Linked DNA regions of Oreochromis niloticus. The protein of the gene in region 2 purifies or fractionates together with the protein of the main gene of each other region. This does not show direct contact. Links are inferred from orthologs where the notes say so. Each region holds a gene or a part of one and is shown on either strand. Other genes may lie near its edges.

Region 1 (7,909 bases), on a different chromosome or scaffold from region 2:
AACGTTCTCAGTTTTTTTCCCCTTTCAAAAACCACACCCATATTATTCGCCCCGTTTATAATTGCGCAACACTTGCAAGTCATCATTTCACATAGTATCATTAATTGAGCTTAAAAAGTGGCCAGCAGGTGTCAGGCAGTTTTGAATCCACTGATACAACCTCGGTGTTGTGCCAAGTGATTTCTGATGTTTCAATGTATATTTTTAAGGGTTATACATTTGCCTATACTGGGCGTAACAGAATTTATGAAGAAGTTGTATATAAAATGAAGAAATGACCATTTATGACTGTGTTAGAGTACCTACATTTTAAATCAATGCAGTTCATATTTTTATAAAACTGTTATATTTGTTGAAATAGCCAGATCTCCCTTTAAAAAAAAACAACCAAACAAACAAACAAAAGCAGACATATGTACAGGGAGTGCAGAATTATTAGGCAAATGAGTATTTTGTCCACATCATCCTCTTCATGCATGTTGTCTTACTCCAAGCTGTATAGGCTCGAAAGCCTACTACCAATTAAGCATATTAGGTGATGTGCATCTCTGTAATGAGAAGAGGTGTGGTCTAATGACATCAACACCCTATATCAGGTGTGCATAATTATTAGGCAACTTCCTTTCCTTTGGCAAAATGGGTCAAAAGAAGGACTTGACAGGCTCAGAAAAGTCAAAAATAGTGAGATATCTTGCAGAGGGATGCAGCAGTCTTAAAATTGCAAAGCTTCTGAAGCGTGATCATCGAACAATCAAGCGTTTCATTCAAAATAGTCAACAGGGTCGCAAGAAGCGTGTGGAAAAACCAAGGTGCAAAATAACTGCCCATGAACTGAGAAAAGTCAAGCATGCAGCTGCCAAGATGTCACTTGCCACCAGTTTGGCCATATTTCAGAGCTGCAACATCACTGGAGTGCCCAAAAGCACAAGGTGTGCAATACTCAGAGACATGGCCAAGGTAAGAAAGGCTGAAAGACGACCACCACTGAACAAGACACAAACTGAAACATCAAGACTGGGCCAAGAAATATCTCAAGACTGATTTTTCTAAGGTTTTATGGACTGATGAAATGAGAGTGAGTCTTGATGGGCCAGATGGATGGGCCCGTGGCTGGATTGGTAAAGGGCAGAGAGCTCCAGTCCGACTCAGACGCCAGCAAGGTGGAGGTGGAGTACTGGTTTGGGCTGGTATCATCAAAGATGAGCTTGTGGGGCCTTTTCGGGTTGAGGATGCAGTCAAGCTCAACTCCCAGTCCTACTGCCAGTTTCTGGAAGACACCTTCTTCAAGCAGTGGTACAGGAAGAAGTCTGCATCCTTCAAGAAAAACATGATTTTCATGCAGGGCAATGCTCCATCACACGCGTCCAAGCACTCCACAGCGTGGCTGGCAAGAAAGGGTATAAAAGAAGAAAAACTAATGACATGGCCTCCTTGTTCACCTGATCTGAACCCCATTGAGAACCTGTGGTCCATCATCAAATGTGAGATTTACAAGGAGGGAAAACAGTACACCTCTCTGAACAGTGTCTGGGAGGCTGTGGTTGCTGCTGCACGCAATGTTGATGGTGAACAGATCAAAACACTGACAGAATCCATGGATGGCAGGCTTTTGAGTCTCCTTGCAAAGAAAGGTGGCTATATTGGTCGCTGATTTGTTTTTGTTTTGTTTTTGAATGTCAGAAATGTATATTTGTGAATGTGGAGGTGTTATATTGGTTTCACTGGTAAAAATAAATAATTGAAATGGGTATATATTTGTTTTTGTTAAGTTGCCTAATAATTATGCACAGTAATAGTCACCTGCACACAGATATCCCCCTAAAATAGCTAAAACTAAAAACTACTTCCAAAAACATTCAGCTTTGATATTAATGAGTTTTTTGGGTTCATTGAGAACATGGTTGTTGTTCAATAATAAAATTATTCCTCAAAAATACAACTTGCCTAATAATTCTGCACTCCCTGTATGTGTGTGAGATATATATATATATATATATATATATATATATATATATATATATATATATATATATATATATATATATATATATATATATATATATATATATATATATATATATATAGATAGATCTCTCTCTACCTCTCTCTCTCCACACACACGTCACTTTGCCAAAAAAAGCACATGTGTCTACATTGTGACAGGAATGAAGTTCGTGGCTCAAAATTACCCTCTCATACCCACGAGAAACTTGTTTGCCATCCTTTTCACATATTATAGATCAACAAGTCAATAGCAGTTTAAATACGGGCAATAATTTTTGTGCAAATACCGGAAATCACTTTGGCAAACGATCACTTTTTAGTCCAACACCTGCACAATTGATTCAAACTTCCCAGTATTTCACAAAGCGTCGTTTTACCCTTTACAGAACCCCCGCTGTCGCGACAAGGACCATTCGCAGGTAACCTACCTTTGTAACGTCTATCGTATCCAGGTCGCTCAGCATGTTCACCAGGAGGGAGCGGACAACCGGATTTCGGATGTACTTCCCGGTCCACATCCTCCTGATTGAGAGCAGAAAGGCGACGTAACCTACGACCCACCCTACAAAAAGCAACGTCCTCAGCTGCAGAGGACACATAATGAACAAAGTCTTGAGCAGAAGAGATGACAAACCGAGAGAGAAGAGGCAAAGTGGCCAGAATGCCGTGGTTAATATTAGATGATGTTAAAGAGGCGAACAGCAGCCACTTGCAAAGCAACACGCAGAGGCATGTGTCCGGTTACACGACGGCAAACAAACCTGCGGGGAAAGCAGAGGATTCAACAAGGCCCGTTACCATGTACTTAATCCCACTGTTAGCTTATTATATTCAATTCAGTGCCATCTGTAGGGTCTCTGCCCAATATGACAACAAAAAGGCAATGCTTTGTCTTCTTTTGGCTTTATTGGAGGCGTTTAAACCGCTTATGCGCGCTTTACCGCCACCCTATGCTTAGGCGTGTCCATTAGACCTAAAAAACCGGTTTCCAGGACCTATCACCTCATTTAAAACCCAGCAATTATTTAAAGCGCCCGTGAATCATTTCCTGCAATATGTAAAAGTTTTTCCAGTCGTTTCCTCCCCAAACCACAGCTTATTGTAAGTGAATATTTTAAAGATTGAGGTTGCCACATGACATCACCTGTTAGTGAAGTTCAGTTTTTAAGGTTTGAGCAGAGTGTTCGCTGTAATCTTGGCATTGTGCAACCAGGCATGATGCAAGGTTTGATCTGACCAAGAAACAAGAGCATGCTCACTGGCTAACAAATGGTCAGTGACCAATGAACAAACTCTGGATAAGTTACTGCACTATAGGACTAGAAATGTGAAGATGCACCTCATTTTATTCAACAGCCTGAAAGTAGCAACCAATCTCAAACGGGAATGTTTAAAGAGGTCAGAGCAAGGGAACTCAGGGCCAGTTTTCCATAGACTCCTGGTATCCTGCAGTCTTGTGACAGAGTCACCCTCCAACCATAAACAGGAGCATGTTTATGGACTGATATAAAGGCTATTCTACACTAGGAATGTTTCCTCTAGAAATCTAGCAAGGTTTAAAGATATTTAAAAAAAAAAAAAAAAAAGTCTGTTACTTGCACCAATGAGCAAATATGTGAATTTTTCCAACCAAACTAGTAAGCATCTAAATAGTACACAATTTTGTCCAAATATGGTTACTTCTGGATCAAAACCAAATGCACAACAACAGTGGCTATTGCTGTCTTTTTTTAGTTGGCATTGATTATACAAAACATGAAGACAATGCAATGTTGCAAGGCCTCAGTTTCAGACAAGACTGCAAAAGCGAAATGGGGCACTGAAATAATTTAAAGCAATATGGGAGAATTTGAAGTGCCTGAAGGTGTTACAAAAGATGCCATCAAGAGGCAAGAATTGCTTCTCAAAGAAATTTGATTTGTCCCTTTAATCACTGCGTCTCCCCATCTTGCAGTTTAGCTATCTTTGCATTCCCATTACCAGCAGGCATACAGAGATGATGTTGGCTGTTGCATATTGACATTATGCCAACAATTCATCCACTGAACTAAAATGAGTCAAGTTCCCTCTTGTGGCTTCTCAAACCTATTAGAGTTTCAATACACGACAGAAGTCTTGCTGTGGGTAACAGACAGCCATGGAGAAACCTTTAACTGATTGAATCAACTTAGGCATCATTTCATAATTCATAAAATATGTGCAAAAAACATCTGCCATTTAAAAGCAAGAAAACACACTTCACCAGATTACCACTAAAATGCTAACGATGTAAAAATGAGGTCATTTAGCATCAGTTTGTCAATCGTCTGCAGCAGCTCAAAGATGTGAGAAGCTTTCCTTTAACTTTACAGTTTCATTTGTTTTACTGGGAGAAGCTTCTAAGAGAATTCTGTGTAAAAGACTGTCTAGACATTGTTTGAATTGGTTTTCCTTACTTTAGGTTTCAAATAATTGAAACAACTGCACCATGTCCTGTTTTGCTGCTCAAGAGAACTTTTTCATACTTTGCATGGTTAGAACAGCCAGCAAGATGAGTCACATAGTGATCCTAGTGATTGACCTTGGAAATAAAGAGTGTGTTCATCTCTAGTCTGTTTCTTTCCCAAAGGGAATACCACATGATAATCCTAACAAGGCCGTGCACACAAAAACAAACTCCACTAAGAATAGTTCAAATATTGACTTTGTGAAAGTTCTCCCAGATGAATTCACTCAGGGCTTTCAAATACAAAGCTCAAAAGCAACCTTTTTGAATTTGATCTTCAAATGTCTCCTTTCCAAAGCTGAAAACTGCTGGAAGCTGTCACTCATTTACATTTATATGGTTTAGATGAAAATGTTATAAATAAAAATGTAACTAGAACCCAAGAGAAGCAGCAGTGGAAGCCTTCTTTGTTGTGAAAAAATATTATATTTTAATTTTATTAAAGATTATATTCTATATAACATTAAAGTATAGTACAGTGTCACACTATAATTAACAGAAAGGGAGGTGTGCAGACATGTCCTCGACATGGACAAACGCATCCAAGAGGCTCTCTGGGAGACATTTCTACAGATATGCAGTGAATGCCCAGGAAATACACGGACCCTGGAAGCAGTGTTTGAAATTCAGCATGTGTTACATACCTGCACGGCGCGCGAAGAGATGAGGCTTACCTGCACCTGCAGAAGTAAACGAATTTCAACACCTCCTGCTACAGCTATTTATTTCCGGACATAATGAGCAGATAAAAAGTGGGCGTGGTTGGCTGCACTTGTTGTTCGAAGACCACTTGATGCCTTTGGAAAATGAGAAGGAAAGAATAAATTTTGGACTTCTTATGTGATAATTTTTCTCGTCTTATTTTGACCTTATCCTTTATAACTTTCTAGCTCCTCTTTTCATCTCACAATTTGGTATTCTATCTTGCCATCTGCATGTTTTGTCCCATCACTTAGATTTTTCCCTCATAATTTTAAACAATTTGTCATGCCTTCATTTTCTTTTCAGTTTTTCAAAACTCTCACCATTGACCTTTGTGGTTTCATAATGATAGTTTTCTTTTTAAAAACGCCGACTATTTTAGCTGATCATTTTAACATGCAAGTCAAATTGTGACAATTTCTTTAAATCATGACTAACTTTTTTGGTCTTTAACATTTCTGGATTTGGTTTTTCTTTTTAATGGCCGAAATTGACTTCTATACTATACAAGACTGTAAACGCGAGGTAACAGAAAATCGCGTTGCCTTGAATTTGACTAGGAGTAATGTTAGTAGCAGTGTTTCATCAGCAGATGTCGCTACTACATCACCGCTCTGCTAGCTCTCTCTCACTCTTCTCTCCTTCGATGAAACGCCAGCAGGGTCCACTCAGGGAAATAAGCTTCTAACAAGACTTACTTAATACTGACTAAAAGTGGTCTGAGGATTTAACTCACACTGCCATCACACAAACAGTCAAATTTAAATCCGTCAAGAAAACCTAAGCAAACACACAAAAACAACTAGGGCTAAAATAAGCAATTAAAGTACATAAATTGGGGAAATGGCTACTTAATAGCGAGAGCTTTGCTTTGTAATAATAGTACTAATATTTATTTTTTAATAATTATTAATAAAAAACAACTTTTGTTTTAATATGACGGTCATACAGTAGGTTGGTTACTTACCTCCGTTAAGTTAACCAACCCTAAGAAGAACGCTAGATCGAGTTGTGTAATTTTCCCTTCACAATAAAATCATATAAAAGTGGAAGCCAGACAATCTAAGGGTTATTGCTCAGTGGCGTCAGAAACTGACGTTGAATTTTCCGGTCCGAACATAACTCTGTGCCATCTGATATTGAAAACAAGCAAAAACAAAGGAAGTTTGACAAGCAAGAATCCAAGACTTGTTGCGCAACTTTACTTTGAAAGTTTCTACCAGAAGTTGTGTCAGTGTTCGCGGGTCTCTTGACGGTGTAAGTCCGTCTTGCGCTACCCTGAGCGCTCTTCTTACTCGGTTGTGAGCTATCTTATTACAGCACCGTAGTTCAGCAGGTGAGAACCTTTTTTCCTTCTTTAAACCTGTTCATTGTGAACAGACTAAAGCAGACTAAAAAGAGACGGACTCGGTTAATAGAAATACGACAGGATTATAGTAGGAAGGACGGTAGCTGGGACACCTTGATAGTTGAGATTGGTAACTTGGCGAACTAGATTTGAACGATGAGAGCAGACGGCAGTCCCAATAAAATGCGTCCACAAGTCGCATGATCCTGTTTTTTTCACTTACAGGCAAATAGCTGAACATGTACGATAACTTTGAACGAGCTATTGGCGTTTTCCAGTAAATTTCCCTGGTAGGCAAGGACCTTGTTTTCATAAATCACCAACTTTCAGGGCTTTTTCCACCCATCTGTGCTTCACGGTGGTGGAAGAGGTGTTATGGACTTGTGATGTTCATATGATGCTATTGCCGATGTTTGGATTTCATAAAGTTCTCAATTTTTTGTATATATTACATTTGTCCGTTTGCTGCAGTGGGATGTCAAATGAAATTGTCCCAGTGAACAATAGAGGTTTGGTCTGCTTGCTATTGAGCTGAATATTGCAGAGAAAATTAGGTCTACAACATATACATCTAGTCTGAAAAGTCAACATTTTCAGACTAGAGAAAATTAGACTGAAGAATTTCTCTTACAGTGTAGTGCAACTCAAGGATTTGTCACTTATCACTTTGGTCATCCACGATCACCTACGGTGTAACCCTACTGAAGTAAGCTCTCTATCCACTTTAGGCTATCATGCCAATTTTGGCTTCCTCGTTTACATTGTGCATTGCTCATGTTAGTGATGGGCTGTGCAGTTGTTTACTGCCTGTAGAGGAGCCTGGCTAGTTTTAAACCTTGTGTCAGTACAAAACATGCATTGGCATCTATTGCTAGGCTACCCTGCTGCATCATCACCTAGAAGTCTGCAGCAGAATAGCTGAACTATGTGGAGATCGTGCCGGCAGAGCACTATTTCATCCAAGACAGCTTCCTCTGGACTCAGACTGTTTTGTTTTGCATACAGACAGAATCTAATTGGACACTGTTTGACTGTGAAAAACCCTGTTTAATCTGCCTCAGTGGTAAGTTTGGAAACCCAGGGAGGCTGTCTCTAAGTTTCCCTGAGATCAATTGTATGGTCATTTTGTGTCCCCCTAGTACACAAAATGCACTTGCTAACCCACACATCTGTGATTTTGAACAAATTGGTTCTGAAGTGGCTCTGCCGGCTGGTTCTTCTCAGAGAGAAAAACACAACTTTTTCTCCCAATAACGTAAGCTTGCAGAATGCCTGGCATTGCTTCACTGAAAAGATGCTTCCTCTTAAAGGTCAGGGGGATGTTATCAGTGAACGGAGACCATGTTGCTGCACGGGAAGAGTTGGAGATT
Region 2 (8,110 bases):
TTGACGTCATTGCTGCAGAATAGAAGTTTTACTTCAAAATGACAACCTTGCTTTTATATAGAAATATACCTGAGTTGAATGAGCATAGGCGACCATTGTCGCAAGAGACAGATTGCCCACCACCAGGCAACTTTCAATTGAAAGTGGTTCTCTAGATGTTGAGGGGCTTGAACCCTTGGTATCTGTCACTGAATGCAAAAAAAATCTGTATTATTTTTGGACAACCATATAACTGAGTCACAATTGGTCTAAAAAGGCAGTGTTCATATAGAAAGATAACCTTCATATGTTTAATTTAAGCTCAAAGATGATTACAGTGAATAGTAGTCCTTCATGTAGATCATGCTTGTGTGTTGCAGAAGCTGGCTGACGATTTGAAAGCAGTTCTGACAGCACACTTGGAGGTCATCTGTCTGGGACTGCTCATGACACCAGCTCACTATGATGCCTACGAACTTAGGAAAGCCACAAAGGTAGGATCTGTGGTTTATGTACTAAACCTTTGATTTGGGGCAATATTACTTCTTTTGTTTTAATTCATTAAGCAGTGTTATAGTTTTAATTTTTTTTCAGTTCATTAAGAGGTTACGTATTTAGACTAAGTTTATCATTTAGGTTGTGTTACTATGAACTGAATTAAATGGTGATCACAAATTTGCTAGTGGGTTCAGTATGGGCCAAGAACCCTCCCAGCAGCACACTGAACCATAGTTTGAACTGAAGGATATTTTTATGCTAATGTTAAGGAATAGCTAAACATATTGATCAGAATAAGTTATAAAAAAACTACTTAGTTGTAATTCTGTTTGAGGGATATTTAAATAAATATTTTTTTCTTTCTGTTTATAGATTTTATTATTTTTGTTATTTGATTTATCCAACAGGGTATGGGCACAGATGAGGAAGTTCTGACTGAGATTTTGGCAACGAGAACAAACCAAGAGATTCAAGAGATCAAGAAGGCCTTCAAACAAGGTTTTATCACAGTCATGTGATATCACATGGTTGTTGTTTGGGTTTACTGAACTAAGATTGAATTTTATACAACATCTTAGATATCTAGCTGACACTCATAAGTGTCTCCAGTGTCTGTAGCTGCTAGCAAGCTAGACTTATTGTAGTCACATTTGGCCATCATATTGTTGTAAACTGTTACCATTATTCTGAAATTCTTCTGATTCCTCAGAGTACAAAACAGAGCTGGAAGAAGTTATTAAAAATGAGACCAGTGGCAACTACACCAAGATCCTCCTGGAATTACTAAGTGGAGGTAGAGATGAGAGCACTCGCGTAGACAATGATCTTGTTTCAAAAGACACAAAGGTAAATTCATGTAACCAAAATCTTAAACTATTTTGCTTTATGTTGTCACCAAATTATGTGAGAAGATGTTTTGATGGTTCCTATCTGTGGCGTTTGGCCAAATATGGACTAGTTTCTCTTGTGCACATAATGTAACAATCACAGAGGGTATAAAAGATGGTCATTAATTCAAACATGTTGTTGGTGGACATTAGCACACTTGGTTAGCAATCTACACCCATAAACTGTGCTTTATCTGCTAAGTACCAAACTAATAAAGCAGTCCTTTGTATCAGGCTGTAAATATGTTTATTAGTGTAGTAATTCTAGGGACTTTACCGTGGAAGTCAGTAGCTGACTTTTGCAGCCAGTCTCATGTGGCCACTAGAGGAACTGCAGTTAAGTATAAGTCATTATGATTATCATCCATTTTTTTGTCTGTCTGTAGACGCTGCTGACATTATGTGAGCAGGGCAGCAAATTCAACGTGTCCACCTTCATTGACTTGATGACCAAGCGCAGCTATCCTCACCTCCGAAAAGGTGAGTTCTTGAAAAGTCTGAACACTTCTTCTTGGTTGGGTTTGACTCATTAGACACAACGTACATCTAGAAAAACAGGTGGAACCACACTCTTGCAGGTAGGAGGTGAAACACACCCAGCAGTGTGAGAACAATACAGAGTCAAAGTCAGTCTGGATTTTAAGTGAGTTATGAAGTCTGTTTACTATTTAAAGCTGAGGAATTTGGAACTAGTCCTTCTTCTTAATTATCCACCCCACTTTGTGCAATGTATGTATCAGTAGCAGCAAAACAGTCCCAGAGCTTGATGCTACCACTGCTGTGCTTGACACTTGGTGCAGTTTTCTTAGGTTTGAAAGCCTCAGCTATACTCTTCCAAACATACCTCCTGTCACTGTGGCCAAATAGCTCAATTTTGTCTCATCAGACCATGAAACCTTTCTTGAGAAGGCATTTAGCGCTTCCATGTGGGCAGCTGTAAATTTCAGTTGAACTTGAAGGTCTTCTTCCAAACCTCAGCAAAATGGTGACCCTTCTGAATAAGTTGTATTTGCATAGAGTTGTTTGAACTGATGATCCTGGAATCTGTCGTACAATCGCATAAATTTCCAATCGAAGCTGCTGTTGGGTGAAGTAATGCGGTATTTGCTTTCTTCTTTTTTAGAACTTCAGTCTAATGTTTCACTGTTCACTAAAATCTGAATGTTTATGTTTATAAATATTTTAAAACCTATTTATTTCCTCAGCTGCTAATTAAATATGCTGCATAGCCTTAAGAACATATTTGGATTTGGTCTAATAACCCAGAATTACCTGTTTGTCTGTTTACCTGTTAGTATTGGAGGCATATAGCAAACAAACGGACGTCAAATTACCCACAGTGCTGAAAAAGGAGCTGAAAGGAGACACTGAAAATTGTCTCATCGACCTTGGTAAGTTGATGTTTGTCCTCATCAGATTATGTAGTTTTCATTTTATTTTCTGTTCAAGGTGGGGGTGGGCTGAGGTCAAAGGACGTGCGAGTGATGAAATCCATCCTCTCGTGAGCAGGAAATGTGTATCACAAATGTGATGCCATAGCACGTCTTGTGTACATTTAGATCAGGAAATATTTAAGATTGATTATAACCTGAAAACAGATTTCCACGGTATGGGCTATAACACAGCTGTGAGGTAGCATCTGGACTCAACTTGAGATCATTTTGTAACTGTTTATCTCTCTTTGATGTCCATAGCAAAATATGCCTGGAACACACCAGCTGTCTTTGCCCAGAAGCTTGTTAAGGCTTTAGAGGTGTGTATTTTTTTTTTCCGTGTGTGTGTGTGTGTGTGTGTGTGTGTGTGTGTGCGCTTGTGTGTGTATTCATCCATTCAGATAAATGTACATTGATTTATGTATTTTAAAAGGAAGGTTCAAGTCTGTGAGTAGGCTGGATGTCTTAAACTGTTCAAGCAGTTTGAAACTGAGCACTTCTGCAGTATCTACATTGCAAAACAGATTCACTTTTTCACTTATTTACTTACTTCACTTACTTGTTCCCTCAAAAATTAAGTCCCCTTAAAGACTTAAGCTATATTAAGTATACAGTACTTAACAGCATACCAAATAACAGCACTAGTTTGTTTTAAATTTACTTTATATAACCTTAGTTTAACAAATGGCATTTAGAAAATGCCACGATGAATGGCTTAGACTTTTGCCTCAGACAGTTGAGAGTACTTGTAAATACTATTTAGTTGTGTTAGGATACTGCACAGCTACAGGAACACCGCGAGTTGCTGAAGGAGTCCGTACTCTTGGCCACCCAAAACACTGAAAGGTTAACTCTTGAATAAGTGTTTGGAGCTTAACGCCAACATAACGTCTGTACAGCATAACCTTTTAGATTATTTTTTACAGTATTCAATAACCAAAACTTTGCTCTGCTCTCACAGAAACCAGGCACGTGTGAGAAAACTCTCAACAGGATACTGGTGAGTCGCTCTGAGGTCGACCTCAAGAAGATCAAGGAGGTATACTGGAACTGTCACCAAAGATCCCTAAATGATGACATAGAGGTAAAAAAAAAAAAAAAGCAAAACACAAAAAACCCATTGTTATTATGTTGCTTTTACTAATTGTGAACTCAAATGACAGCATACAGTATCTGAATATTTCAGCTAATAATATCTTTGTTCCACAGAAAGACACCAAGGAGCACTATCGGAAAGTCCTGCTTAGCCTGTGTGGAGCTTTTTGAACTTCATCTGTTACCATTTTACTCTGGAAACCGAGACCAACTTATTCCACTAAATACTCACAGCTTTAACTCTGAAATGCATGACTACTCTGTTCTTTTGAGATTAAACTTTAATAAAGAAGTTATTCCAGCACCAAGCATTTCATGCCTTCTTTCTGGCAAAATGTATTTCTTCTTTTTCTTTTAATGTCTTTTGAAAGATAACGTATGAGGAAGTTGTAGAAATGTATATTAAAATATATTTGGTTATTGGAAATGCAGAAGATAAAATGGGAAATCAAGTACAGTATTTTCTATTTAATCTTCAAAATCTTTACTTTGTATCAGAAGTAAGGCTTTTATATTACATAAGCCCATAGCCTCCACCTACTGGCAAAACCATCTAGGGTTAAAATAAAGTTTTGAATTGGTTAATATCATGCACATTTTTTTTAGTGCTTTGAAAACACAAAATGCTTTTTTAAAAACAACAACAACAAAAAACAACAACAAACAACAACAAAAAAAACCCAAATCTCCAATGCCAAAATGTATGAGACTTTTATTTGAAAGGACTGAAAAGAAATGTGGTATGTTTTGCATCTGGTTAAAAAATTGCTCATAACACTGAGTGGTAAGCAGCATTTGGTCCCAGATAGCAGCACTTGGTTTACGTCTCCCAGGAGACAAAATATGAACTCAAAACTCATTGCTGGAAACCCACAGGAGAAACAAAAACATACAGAGTAGAAGAAAAACAAACCGAACAGGCGAAGCAGAGGAGCACACAGCATAAACGGAGGACACGACACAGGACAACTTTTTAAAATATGTTTGTATGTTTCTCTAGAAAGAAAGAAAGAAAGAAACGTCGAAAATGTTTATAAAAAGTATATAAAACAACTTTCTAAATAAAGTTTAAAAAAAACCCTATCCTCATCATCTGCGCAGGCGCAAGGCTGACGAATAACTGCACGTGACGTGGACAGTTTACCGTGTCCGGAAGTGTCGTGGCAACACGGGCAGCTTGGGTGTTTGATTTTCTTTATCCTGTCATTGCGGATTTTCTCAGTTATTGCGGCCACTTCAGACTCATAACTTTTCATTATCTTTTTCTGACCGCGAGTCCACATGCGCCTGGGTCACGTGAACCGTACACCGAGGACGTGACGCCACTGGAAACTTTGGGGGAAAAGTGGCTAGCTAGCCGGCTAATACGCTAACAAGGCTACCAGCTGATTGTAGTTTACACATCAGACACTGACGGGAGGATGAATAGGACGCAGAAGAAGCCCGTTTATTTTCTCCGGCAGTGAACAGACAGTAGTTTAAGCTGACTCTCCCGCCAGCAGCGATGTAAACGATGCACAAGTAACAGATGTAACTGTCGGTGGAGTGGAGCTGGTGGTTTGGGGAGCTTGAAAATGGAAGAAAAATACAGCAGCAACGTGCTCTCAGGGGGTCAGCTGGGGATGGTCGAAGTGCCCGATTCCAGGTATGTTCTCCACCCTTCATTAAAAACTCAGTCAGTTTAAACTGATTTAACTGTTTTTATGTCACGGAATCAGTCAAATCTCATCCATGAGTCTGTAGTCCATATGTTAGCGTTTATGAAGAATTGATTACGCTATAAATTGTCCACAGCAGTGGAAAACCCATTATTATTTCCCATTGTTTGTTGTGTCCGATATTTGCAACCAGACACCATAGTTAAGAACACTATGACAAAAAGTGTTCAGATTTACTTATAAACTAACAGTCATTACATTATTATTAAGTATTATTAATTAATTAGTATTAATTATGCCCTTAATCTGAGCGGTATGTTGGTATAAAAACCTTCAAGATTGACTCTAGCATGCTATGTTTTAGTGGACATCTAAAAATTATCAGGGGTTGTCTAAGAATTGGTTTATCCAGTCTGTTGTGTCACGGGCTGTGATGCTGAATCACCAGCAGACCACAGCACATTACACTCCATTCACCACAACTAACTGAGAAAATCTTCAAACTATAGCTTAGGAAATAGAGCTTGATCGTTTTCTTCTTCTATACACCCTCTGTCGTTGACTTCCAGTTCATCTTGTTGTAGATGTGGACACATGGGTACTTGTATTCCTCCACCACATCAACATCCTGTCCCAGGATATGCACAGCTTAAGTTGTTCACCATCTCTCTGGTCTTATTCACATTCAAAAGCAGATCATTCCTCCTCCTAGATCAGCGGTCCCCAACTTTTTTGGGCCATGGACCGGTTTATGTCTGACAATATTTTCACGGACCGGCCTTTAAAGTATCGCAGATAAATACAGAAACAGCATAAAACCAGTACCGGTACAAAAAAAGATGTAATAATAACACAGGAAAACACCCAGGGAAACAGAGTTAATGATAAAAAACGGTAAAAAATAACGATTAAAACCCTGAAAACCATGCATTTCACACCCGAGTCTCAACTCTCACGGCCCAGTACCAAACGACTCACGGACCAGTCCATGGCCCGGGGGTTGGGGACCGCTGTCTTAGATCACACCACAAAAGACTTAGAGAGTCTCTCTATGTCTAAAATCATTCAACTAGTGCTCTGTACTCCTTCTCCTGCCCATGACTAATGAATCCAATCACTGCATAATTTTCAGTGTTTCTGTAGGTGGCATGACGTGTTGTTATGTTGAAAGTCTGAGATGCAAAAAAGGAACACACAGACTCTCTTTAAACCATCAGTGAATTAAAGTTTTTCTTTTTACCTGTCTCTACCTCTAATATGGTCAAGACAAAAAGAGATGGTGTTAGATTTTAGGAGGGGCATCAGTGTAAATGACAGTTGATTTTACTCTTATCACCACAGTCTGTACTAATGTGTAGTGTGTTCTTTCCTTGTACAGGTTAACCAGGTACATTGTTCTGCTGGTCATCTCGAAGGTCCTCAAAGCTCTTGGGATCTTTGAGTCATACGATATCCTCAAAGTGGTTCACATAGTTCAGTTCATCTTCATACTGAAATTAGGGTAAGTACTCTTTGTTTGTTTTATGTATTATTGTTAGTTAGGGCTGCTCTGTAGTGACAAAAATCTTAATTACAGTTATTCTGGTCAATTTTTGTTGACTTCACACACTTGCTCAATAAGAGCGATGAATAGATATTTAATGTCCATCATCTCAGCTGAACGTGTTACCAGCTGCAGTGAGTGAGTTTGAGGTTTTTGAGGTGGAGTTAAAAGACAAAATGTGATTATTCACCAAGACCTTTTGCTAATTTTGTATTTATGGATGGTGAAAACATGCTGATACTTTTTTTGGTTGTTTGTTTTGGTCTTAGGAGTGCAGTGTTTCTGCTTTTTTTCCAAAAACCTTTTTCATCTGGAAAAGTCATCTCAAAAAGACAGGTTTGTTGGACTTTACCTTTTAAATTTGTCAGTTTTTCAACCTCTAATTTTCCTGTTCTTTTTCCTGTTGTTCATTAGCTTGAACACGTGAATGTTTGCTAAATATTTGGTGATTTTGTTATAGCCTTTCTTATATATGTCATGCTTAAGATATTTTAAGTCTGGCTTTGCAAAAGGAAAAAAAACACCTTGTGCATTGTGTTAATGTCTGTTGATGAATCTGCTTTCTTTGCAGTGGATAAAGTTGTTAAAGCATGCTGTTTTCAGCTGTGTCATATCCCTCCTGGGCTTCTTCGGCCTAACTCTTTGTGGACCTCTTAGGTAAGAAGTAGTTAAACAGTAGTTAAATAAAACAAAATGCAGCATTAGAGGTGCAGGAAAAACAGTTCAAATCCCTCCCCGAGTCTCATTGTGTTTCTTTGGACTAAAAATGGTTGTTTGGTGGTCTCTTGAAAGAAACAAGACAGTCAGGTCAGCCAGAGGTGTACAAGGACACAACCCTGCTTTGCCTGGCAGAATTTCCACTAGAATTATTTGACACCTGTCTTTATGTCTTTATATTTGCATGTTTCTTCAGTTAGTACAGTAGCATCTCATTTTACACAGCTACTTTAAAGTGGTAATTTAATGTAGTAAGCAAGTATTTTACTTTACAGAGCTGTTCTTGTATTATATTCAGCT

What was found.
Region 1: the proteins of slc30a5 (region 2) and mettl9 purify together in Homo sapiens (co-immunoprecipitation; 3 studies listed by BioGRID and IntAct, with this or other methods). This does not show direct contact. The link is inferred for Oreochromis niloticus from reciprocal best matches to the Homo sapiens genes SLC30A5 and METTL9.

The regions. Positions count from the first base shown.
Region 1 is NC_031973.2:26,775,731-26,783,639, forward strand, and holds the start of mettl9 (protein-L-histidine N-pros-methyltransferase), read right to left. Parts: upstream 3,414-7,909; 5' UTR 2,806-3,413; coding exon 2,766-2,805; exon of another isoform or gene 2,639-2,765; intron 2,616-2,638; exon of another isoform or gene 2,604-2,615; coding exon of another isoform or gene 2,567-2,603; coding exon 2,433-2,566; intron 1-2,432. UniProt on the Homo sapiens protein: Protein-histidine N-methyltransferase that specifically catalyzes 1-methylhistidine (pros-methylhistidine) methylation of target proteins.
Region 2 is NC_031972.2:31,370,322-31,378,431, forward strand, and holds the start of slc30a5 (proton-coupled zinc antiporter SLC30A5), read left to right. Parts: upstream 1-5,007; 5' UTR 5,008-5,466; coding exon 5,467-5,537; intron 5,538-6,928; coding exon 6,929-7,051; intron 7,052-7,362; coding exon 7,363-7,429; intron 7,430-7,664; coding exon 7,665-7,750; intron 7,751-8,110. Other genes in the region: annexin A1-like, read left to right, coding at 360-473, 885-975, 1,187-1,323, 1,751-1,844, 2,660-2,755, 3,059-3,117, 3,759-3,881, 4,007-4,063. UniProt on the Homo sapiens protein: Together with SLC30A6 forms a functional proton-coupled zinc ion antiporter mediating zinc entry into the lumen of organelles along the secretory pathway.